Saccharomyces cerevisiae S288C: one gene and its partner. Changing the gene in region 1 together with any one later gene gives a genetic interaction. Each region holds a gene or a part of one and is shown on either strand. Other genes may lie near its edges.

What was found.
Region 2: mutations in MAD1 (region 1) and SLK19 together harm fitness more than expected from each alone (negative genetic interaction), as found in Saccharomyces cerevisiae (6 studies listed by BioGRID, with this or other methods).

Annotation. Positions count from the first base shown.
Region 1 is NC_001139.9:344,648-350,556, forward strand, and holds MAD1 (coiled-coil domain-containing protein MAD1), read left to right. Parts: upstream 1-2,471; coding exon 2,472-4,721; downstream 4,722-5,909. Other genes in the region: MF(ALPHA)2 (Mf(Alpha)2p), read right to left, coding at 144-506; YGL088W (uncharacterized protein), read left to right, coding at 1,189-1,554; E2 ubiquitin-conjugating protein MMS2, read right to left, coding at 1,759-2,161, 2,247-2,257; LCL3 (Lcl3p), read left to right, coding at 4,969-5,793. UniProt on the Saccharomyces cerevisiae protein: Central component of the spindle assembly checkpoint. Thought to recruit MAD2 to unattached kinetochores. During checkpoint activity, MAD2 is relayed from the MAD1-MAD2 complex to the mitotic checkpoint complex (MCC).
Region 2 is NC_001147.6:710,958-715,831, forward strand, and holds SLK19 (Slk19p), read left to right. Parts: upstream 1-1,908; coding exon 1,909-4,374; downstream 4,375-4,874. Other genes in the region: PEX27 (Pex27p), read left to right, coding at 1-619; TOA1 (transcription initiation factor IIA large subunit), read right to left, coding at 726-1,586; LIP5 (lipoate synthase), read right to left, coding at 4,636-4,874. UniProt on the Saccharomyces cerevisiae protein: Has a role in spindle assembly and stability. Required to ensure a timely exit form mitosis. Essential to maintain pre-anaphase spindle polarity. Associates to the plus ends of the microtubules at the kinetochore and spindle midzone.

The DNA of each region.
Region 1 (5,909 bases):
TACTTTATTTAAATGGCAAAAAATAGTTCTATGTGAGTGATCGAAAACTCAACTACTCAGATTGAAAAGAAAATAAATAAAACTAGGTGTTGTATGAACGTGAAAGAAATCGAGAGGGTTTAGAAGTAGTTTAGGGTCATTTTTCAGTACATTGGTTGGCCTGGCTTGAGTTGCAACCAGTGCCAAGCATCAGCGTTGGCCTCTCTCTTGTACATTGGTTGGCCTGGTCTCAAATTTAACCAGTGCCAAGCGTCGGCAACAGCCTCTCTTTTCGCCAAAGTGGTGTTTTGCTCTTTTTCAGCCGCCTCAGCAATAGTGGTGTTGATAAACAATAGCCCACTGGCGGTAGCGTTACTGAATGGTAAAAAAGCTATGTCATGATCACCTCCGAAATCCAAGTATCCAATAATGGCCTCGGCTGGCACCTGAGCGATATCTTCATCGGAACTAGCAGTGACAGAAACGGCCGCTAAAATAAAAGTGAGAAAGGTAGAAATGAATTTCATTTTCTCCAATATGTGAATTTACTGGAATTTGATGCAGGTGATGGTAGTAATTATCCATTATATAGAATATAAAAACAGATATAGGAAGGACACCTCAAACTACACCAGAATCAAGGACAGCTTTTATACATATAAGCCCTCGTCTCTGCGCTGTAAAGACACCAAGTTTCACTAGGTCCACGGCGACTCTGTACTGAAACAACTGAATATTTGAAACAGTAACGATGAATAGTTTGGCTCGATACCTTGAAAACAATCACTACAGGCGTCGCCCAGATGCGCACATCGTTGCTGGCATTGATGTACCAATGAAGAAATATAAGTGACAAACTTTATGAAAAGATAGAAAGAGGTTTACAAGATAAGAGAAAAATTATGCTGTGAAGATTAGTAATCGAAGTAACTGCTTATTCATTCAGTGCATGTTTTTCTAGGAATGCGTTTGATATGGGACATACATCTTACTATGCGACATTACCTTTTAGGGACATCAATGAGCAAGTGAACACTAGCAAATTAGGAAAACAACTTTAGCACGCCCAACTGCGTACTGAAACGCAGAAAACTATAGAGTTTCCCGAAACGGTGACAGCTGAGTTCGCTCAAATAAGAACAACACCATGTCTTGAAGCTTCTTCTATAGCGTAGAGTAAGTAGTGCCTTGTAGCCCTACCGTTTTACAATGCATGAGGTTACCCGCACTTATTATTTTTTTCTCTTTTTTTTTCTTAGCTATAAAAGGCAGATCAATGCAGCATTCATTGCTTTATTTGACTTTCCTTTACTATTTATTTACTTTCCATTTCTTATTTTAGTGTTATTTTATAACAGTAACGCAAATTTAACAGCCATTCGTAACACGTACAGTATCTCGTCGAGGTTGAACCCCTCCGGGGCGTTCTTGACCCATGAAGAATGTGGATTGGTGTTGCAATATATTTATTATTGGCTTGGACTGGAGAACAAATTTATCGATCTTGGGTGCAACAGTCTTTCTGTCGTCTGTTTTTTAGCAGATCTAAGGGTTTACCTTCGTGTGCCCGGATGAGGACCGTTGCAAGGATTGATAATACAACTATATACATCATTATCGTAGTGAATTGCACGAGTAACTTCTCGGCATGGGGTGAGTAAATTCATATTATGAAAGTAATTAAACTTACTACCTAAATAAGAGGATATCTATGTCTTATTGCTTGTATATATGAGTGGCTTGGAATGCTGCAAATACTGTTTAGGAAAAAGTAGATAACTAAAAGGTTTCTCCTTCCTTCGGTTGACGCAATTTCTTGTTCGCTGGGGTTGCCATTTCCTTTCTAAGATCAAGTAATAAAGTTTCCATGGTGTAGGCTCTTTTCCAGTCACGTAAGGTGTGGAAGTCAGTTTGGACCTCCCCCGTAGTTGGATTGACGCATGGTAGATTTATCTTGGAAATGAAAGTGACCTTTGGGGGAGAATCTGGATAGTTTGGGCCACAATCTATAGAAAGGGAATAGATTCTGTTTTCATGATTACTATGAGGGGGCCCTAAAATAGTGCCGTTCCATTTGGTCATGGTAATATCGTCGCTATCAGCTAAACCATAACTACATGATTCTGGACCAAACCCTTTTTCACCCTTTTCTAATTCTTCTAACAACCTAAAATTTCTTGGTCTGATTTACAATAGGACAGTGAGGGTACATTTCAAGAATTTGTTAGTATATGTTGAAATCCCTTTCAAAACTTATAATAACATACACTTTTGACATTTTTGTGTAAACGCTGCTTTCTTCTACGTTGCATATACAGAATAAGAATTTCACCACGACATCGAAATGTAATGAGCAGAGATTGTGTAGGAAGTTGATCTTATTTTAGTCTCTTATTTATCGCTAAAGGAGCAATGAAAATTGATAGCGTGTTACCCTAGGAATAATTCCTAACAATTTTTTCCATCTTAAAATCGAGAGGTAATAGTAAATAATGGATGTGAGAGCGGCATTGCAATGTTTCTTCAGTGCATTGAGTGGACGATTCACTGGAAAAAAATTGGGACTAGAGATCTATTCTATCCAGTACAAAATGAGCAATAGTGGTGGGTCCTCTCCTTTCTTGGAAAGCCCTGGAGGTTCGCCCGACGTAGGCAGTACAAATGGACAAAGTAATCGTCAGATTCAGGCGTTACAATTCAAGCTCAATACTCTACAAAATGAGTATGAGATTGAAAAATTGCAGCTACAAAAACAGACGAATATCTTAGAAAAGAAATATAAGGCCACGATTGACGAATTAGAGAAAGCATTGAATGATACAAAATATCTTTATGAAAGCAATGATAAATTGGAGCAAGAGTTAAAGAGTTTGAAAGAAAGATCAGCTAATTCGATGAATGATAAAGACAAATGCATAGAGGAATTGCGAACAACCCTCCAAAACAAAGATTTAGAAATGGAGACTTTAAGGCAGCAGTATGATTCGAAGTTATCAAAGGTCACTAACCAATGTGACCATTTCAAGTTGGAAGCAGAGAGCTCTCATTCGCTACTGATGAAATATGAGAAAGAAATAAAGAGGCAAAGTGTGGATATCAAAGATTTGCAGCATCAAGTGATGGAAAAGGATGATGAATTATCTTCGGTAAAAGCATCTAAGATGATAAACTCACATCCAAACTACTCCACCGAAGAGTTCAACGAGCTCACTGAAATGAACAAAATGATCCAAGACCAAGTTCAGTATACTAAAGAATTGGAACTAGCGAACATGCAACAAGCCAATGAATTGAAAAAACTTAAACAATCCCAGGACACTTCTACTTTTTGGAAATTAGAAAATGAAAAACTACAAAACAAATTAAGTCAATTACACGTACTCGAAAGTCAATATGAAAATCTTCAATTGGAAAACATAGATCTAAAATCGAAATTAACCAAATGGGAAATTTATAATGATAGTGACGATGATGATGATAACAATGTTAACAACAATGATAATAATAATAATAATAAAAATGATAATAATAATGATAATAATAATGATACAAGTAATAACAACAATATTAATAATAACAACAGAACCAAAAATAACATAAGAAATAACCCTGAAGAGATTATCCGGGACTGGAAACTTACCAAAAAGGAATGTTTAATTTTGACAGATATGAATGATAAGTTAAGATTGGACAATAACAATTTAAAGCTACTGAATGATGAAATGGCTTTAGAGAGAAACCAAATACTAGATTTGAACAAGAATTATGAAAACAACATAGTAAATTTGAAAAGATTAAATCACGAGTTAGAACAACAGAAGAGTTTATCTTTCGAAGAATGTCGATTACTGCGCGAACAATTAGATGGCCTATATTCCGCACAAAATAATGCTTTACTAGAGGTCGAAAATAGTGAAACACATGCGTCAAACAAGAACGTAAACGAAGATATGAATAATTTGATCGATACTTATAAAAATAAGACAGAAGATTTAACAAACGAACTAAAGAAGCTAAACGATCAGTTATTATCAAATTCCAATGATGTAGAAACACAAAGAAAAAAGAGGAAGTTGACAAGTGACCAAATTGGTTTAAATTATTCACAGAGGCTCAACGAATTGCAACTGGAAAATGTAAGTGTCTCGAGGGAGTTGAGTAAAGCACAAACTACAATTCAGCTACTACAAGAAAAATTAGAAAAGTTAACTAAACTAAAGGAGAAAAAAATACGTATACTGCAATTACGTGACGGCCCCTTCATAAAAGATCAATTTATCAAGAAAAACAAATTACTTCTTCTAGAAAAGGAAAATGCAGATTTACTTAACGAATTGAAAAAGAATAATCCAGCAGTGGAAACAGTACCCATTTCTGTTTATGATTCACTAAATTTCGAGTTGAAACAGTTCGAACAGGAAGTTTTTAAGTCAAATAAAAGATTTTCCAGACTAAAGCAAGTTTTCAATAATAAATCTTTGGAGTTTATTGACGTTGTAAACTCATTATTAGGTTTTAAATTGGAATTTCAACAAGATAGTCGTGTGAAAATATTTTCCTGTTTCAAACCTGAAAAATATTTGATTGCTGATCTAAATGAAAACACTTTGAAATCTAACCTTGATGCAGATATAGAAGGATGGGATGATCTCATGAATCTATGGGTGGAAGATAGAGGTCAACTTCCGTGCTTTTTGGCAACAATAACATTGCGTCTGTGGGAACAGCGACAAGCCAAATAAGTGTATATACATTTCTAATAGATAATAGTAATCGGTTTTATAATATGATAAACTCCTATCCGCTGACATAATTGTTGGTCACAAAATTCTTTTATCTTTCTTCATCATTGACCTTTTATGATTCCTTTGGTATGCAAAAAAAAAAAAATTGTGTTGAAGAATAAAAACAAATTACAGAATAAGTCACACATGATATAAAAAGAAGCCCAGTTTTTCATAGCTATTAAGGGGGCATAAATGCACTTATATGAGGGAAGGTGATTCTAATTCAAAAAAATCTGCGGATGTTGCTGTCCTCTCCATCATCCTTACGGGTTCGACCTTAACATTGATCTACACATATAAAAGGTATTTAACTCAATTCAAAAGAACAAATGATATACCGCGAAGAATATTTCGTAAACACTGGCTTTATGGTAAAGTCACGTCTGTAGGTGACGGGGACAACTTTCATTTCTTTCACATGCCAGGTGGTATAAGAGGTGGATGGGGATGGTTACGACCCGTCCCACAAATGATCAAGAATGATTCTACGGCAGAAAAGCTTGTTGGAGATAGCAGAAATATGAGGTTTTTCAATTTCAATTGGATTACGCATGGGAGGTCCACCAAAAGTAAAATACAAAAAGCTAAAAGCCAGTTCTTGAAGCTAAATGTACCTTACAAAAATAGGAAAAACCTGCCAACTATTCCTATAAGATTATGTGGAATCGATGCCCCAGAAAGAGCACATTTCGGTAACCCAGCTCAACCGTTTGGTAATGAAGCTTTAATTTGGTTACAAAACCGAATTTTGGGAAAGAAAGTATGGGTCAAGCCTTTATCTATAGATCAGTACAACCGTTGTGTAGCTCGAGTGTCATACTGGGACTGGTTTGGTGGGTGGAAAGACTTAAGCTTAGAAATGCTCAAGGATGGATTAGCGGTTGTTTATGAGGGTAAAGTAAACACAGAATTTGATGATAGAGAAGATAAGTATCGATATTATGAATTTTTGGCAAGATCTAGAAAAAAGGGACTGTGGATCCAGAATAAATTTGAAACGCCTGGTGAATATAAAAAACGTATTTGAGTTTTCGAGAGGATTTTTATCCATCATACTGCAGATTTTCATATTATATGTTCATTAGCTTTTCACGCTTCCTCTCGATATTTTTTTATTTATTTTCGGTTTCATTTTTGTACTAG
Region 2 (4,874 bases), on another chromosome or scaffold:
GATCAATTTATATAAAATTATCAAAAGATTTCGCTGGTTGAGAGAAATGAAAAAACTACATTATAAAGATCAATCAATTTTATTTTATTTTAAAAATTTCCGGTTTTTCGACATTATTGAAGCTTTTTATAATTTGACAGATGAGTTGATACTGTTCCATAAGCTACAATCAATGTTTGGTAAAAAGAACACATCACATGCAAATACTAATAGACTAATGACATTCGTCAAAGAACAGCACTATATCTTATGGGAAGTTTTAAATATTCTTGCTATCAATAAAAACATTGAACAATGGCGACAGCTAATAAGAGATGAAATTTATTTAAGTATCTATAATACCAGTGGTAATGCAATAAAGGAATACGAGTTAAAGTACAAACTACCTACCAATGACAAAGTCAATTTGGAGTTACGGAAAAATAATATTACATTGGATTTTTATAAGATAATACTAAACTTATTGTCTAATCTAATTAATATTAAAGGTAAAAGGGACAAATATAACTCAGAGCTAGCTTACGAAATAATTTCAGTAGGTTCCGGTGTTACTGAACTCCTTAAGCTATGGAACCGAGCCAAAGTCACTTCGGCTAATGAACATACAAGCGCTGTTTGACAACAGATGACCAAGTTCGTTGCATCCCTCTTTATTTCGTTTTTTTAGTTTGATATTATAGTACTTGTATATATACATTTTTTCTTCTTTACGTCTAAAGATTTAGTTATACCCACTCCGCTTCCACTTGAGCTTTTTGGAATGTGTAGTCATTTCTATTGATGGTCACCACACCATCTTTCAGACTACATTTCCATCTCGCCTTTGTTCTTGTGACTTTATCATATAAGCACAGCATTAAGTTCTCATCTGGCCCATCCTCTTCACCCTCCGAAATTAGATAGTCATCGTCGGAATCATCTAGTTCTGAACCGACCTCATCCGTATCTAATAATGCACTTCTTTTTTCCTTCTTCGCTTGTAATTTTACTTGTTCTATCTGCTCCTTTTCCTTGCGGGTTTTTTCCACGTCCTCCTCCTTTTCCTCGTCGTCTTTCTTCTCACTTTCATCATCTATGTTTTCGACGGTAGTTATATTGGCATTATTAATAGTAAGTTCTATTTCCGGTTTTACTTCAATTTTAGGCTGGCTAGTTACGTCCGCATTTGTATTACCACTAGTATTTGTGTTCAAGGTAGCACCTGAATTATTAGTTGCTTCTACCGTATTCGTATTAATATTGGTCTCTCCAGAGTGCGGTATGTTGTTGTTGGAATTGATATTTGGCAAAATTAGACCTTCATTACCGGTATTCTCCTCCTTAATATTGAACTCGCTAGAATTTACGCCGGGGGTAGCAAGATTGAAATTTAAGTCGTTCTGTACACCATTGATATTTCCTTCATTGAACTGATTGTCCCATGAAAAAGTAGTTACCTTCGTCTCTGTGAGCTTTTTTTGCCAAATATTTTTTAGGTCTTGTAAAGTTTGTTCATCGATACCCGCATTTTCAAAGTCCTCTCTTACTTCATTTACCACAGACTCTACGATAATCTCGTACACTCTGCTGGCCTCTGCATTCGACATGATATCCAACGATGTCCCTTGTGTATGGCCTTGATTTGTGTGATACTATCGCTTTTCTTCTTTGAGCTTGCCCCCGATAATATGCCGTATGGCTTTATCCACCTTGTTATTTGGCTTCTTCATCTTTTCTTCAACTGTCTCACATCATACTTGACGAAGCTTTTTTTCGCGTTAATTTATATTCTTTATTTATTTATTTATAATTCAGAGTGTACGATGAGTTCCTCTTTAATGGTTCATTTGAAGGACACTAACTAAAAAGAGCATCATTGGTGTCAAGGGGCACCCAGTTAAAAAAGGTTTTGAGCACATATCGTAATTCATGAACGAAGTTCCTACCACTCCAGTTAGGCTTATTTTAGGGCAAGCTCAGCAACGCGAGCAGAATTCAGAAAACTGTTCGCAAGAACGTAACCCACGCACGTTTAATTCCGAACCGGATTCCAGCTTTAACTCTCCTGGTTCCTCCCAGTTCGTGATACATCCTCATGAACCGCTCGAGAAGGAGAAAGATGAGAAGCAGGATTTAGACCGCTCGATTGATTACGGTAGGTCATCAGCTCTTAACAACAAGAATAATGCCAATCCATTAGAGAATATAGACATAAATAAAATGTTTGATGACAAAAAATCAGATTCAGGTACCAATGATGATAAAGGAGGCGCAAGTACTAGTGATAAGCATGTCCTTGCATTGAATTATTCACCGATCAGAGTTGAAATGAACTCCTCAGAGAAACGAAGCGACAAAAACGTGGACGTAGATGAAAATGATAAAGAAGGTAGCCATATTAATAAAAAATTGAAATTGCAGTTAGAATCAGTACCTGATTTGAAACAAAGCTCTACTAAAGATATCATTAATGACAAAGAAGAAATTATGTCGTCTCCAATGGCGATTGATATGATTGAGACCAACATAAGCCCAAATAAATTCATAATAAACGACGGAGTTGAAAGAAACGATAGTTTCAATATCAATACCGACACACTTAAATTAGAAAATGATATAAATGAGAAACAACAAGAGGAAGACTTCATAAAATCTAACAGTAACAATGTGGTTAATATTGACAATGCTTATAAGGAAAAGGAGGACGAAGAAAATGATATAACAAATTCTCATATAAACAGGCTTACTCCTTTGTATGAGACTTCTGCAAGGGAGTCGAACTCAAATGAAGAGGGGAGGAATGACTACGATGATGACAACCAACTTGATATTAGACATGACAATTTTCAGATTGTAGCAAAAAGAAACGAGGAGCTCACTGATCAGATATATCACTTAAATCAAATGTTAAACTCTTTGATTTCCAAAAATGAATCATTGTCTTTTCAATACGAGAAATTGAACAAAAATCACCAACTACTAATAGATTTGACAAATGAAAAGTTAGATAAACTAAATACAGAAAGAGAGAGCGATATTGCCAAGGTGGAAAAATTCAAAAAGAGGATTAAGGAGTTGAATACAGAAATTAAGGTATTGAATTCCAACCAAAAAATATTACAAGAAAAATTCGATGCCTCAATTACTGAAGTAAATCATATAAAGGGCGAACATGAAAATACTGTCAACACTTTGCAGCAAAATGAGAAAATTTTAAATGATAAAAATGTAGAACTGGAAAATATGAAAGCAGAATTGAAAGGCAATAATGATAAATTATCCGAATATGAGACCACGTTAAATGACTTGAATTCTCGCATTGTGCAACTGAATGATAAGATTGAAAGCACAGATATTGTTTTGAAATCTAAAGAGAACGAACTAGATAATTTAAAATTGAGTTTGAAGGAAACTTTATCGATTTCTAAGGACTTCAACGACTCTGACCTTATAGGACAAATTAATGAGCTAATATCTACAAAAAACAACTTGCAACAAAAAATGGATGATTTGAATAACCTGAACGACGATAATTTGAAGGTAGTACAGGATAAATTAATTAAAAATGAGGAGACGCTAAAACTAAAAGAAGCTGAAATTGATTCATTGAATAGTGAAATGGACGAGCTAAAAAAACAGATCACTTCAAAAGATGATGAATTTAAGATGTGGCAAAGTAAATACGAAACTGTCGAAGACGAAGCTAAGATACGCAATGCCGAAGTTACAGAGTTGAACGGAGATATTGAAGATCTAAAGGAATCAAAATTGCATTTGGAAGAAACAATTACGGAACTAGAAAACAAAGTTCATAAACTAGAAAATGAGTGTGAACTGGAGAAACAAAAATTCGAAAAAACTTCGCTAGAATTAGAAAGCTTACAACTAAAAAATAGTAACATTCAGGCTGAGCACATCAAAGAATTGGAAAATCTTCATGAAAACCTTATTTCTCTTCAAAATGAATTGAAGATTTCATCCGACAGGATAACAACATTAACAAAAGAAAATGAAGTATTAATGGAACAAAATAATAATAACAATAATAGCGTTACTTTAAGCAATGATCAAAAGGATAGAGATGATGAAAAAATTAAATCATTAGGAAAACAAGTACAAGATTGGAAAGAAAAGTATGAGGCCAAAGAAAAAGATACAAATAAAAGGCTAAAGTTATTAGCAGAAGATTTGTATATCCAGTATTCATCCAAACACGAACAAAAGGTCAAACTGTTGAAAAAAGGCTATGAAAACAAGTACCAAAATAAGTTTGATCAATTAAATTTAGAAAATAAAACTCTGTCAGAAGAAATCGAGCAATTGAACAAGCAGCTGTCTTCAGAAAGAGAAGAAAAGCAGGAGTTACTCAAGTTGTTAGAAAATGAAAAAAAATAAACGCATTTTTTTCTTTTGCATTTTATCTTTTCCCTTAATATGTCATGAGAATAAAATATTAAGGATATACCGTAAATATACAAATTCGTATCGAATATTTGATATTGTTTCCTAACTTTTCTGTGTTAAAAATAAATATGCAAAAACATACTAACCATAAAAATAAATAAAATACAAGATATAAATAAATAATCCAGCAAGCAAAGACATTGCGGTCCATGCCATAATTGTTTTCTTCCAACTATTAGATTTCAGTGTGCATTATTTCATGTTTCTTTTCTTCAAAACGTTCTCAATAAATGCTTCACCAGCCTTATATGACGATCTTACTAGGGGTCCAGATGCACAATACAAGAATCCCATCTCTAAAGCTCTCTCTTTCCAGTAGTCAAACTTTTCGGGTTTCACATATTCTACGACTTTCATATGTCTCTTGGTTGGCCTCATATATTGACCAAATGTAACAACATCACATTGAATATTGCGCAAATCCTTCAAAG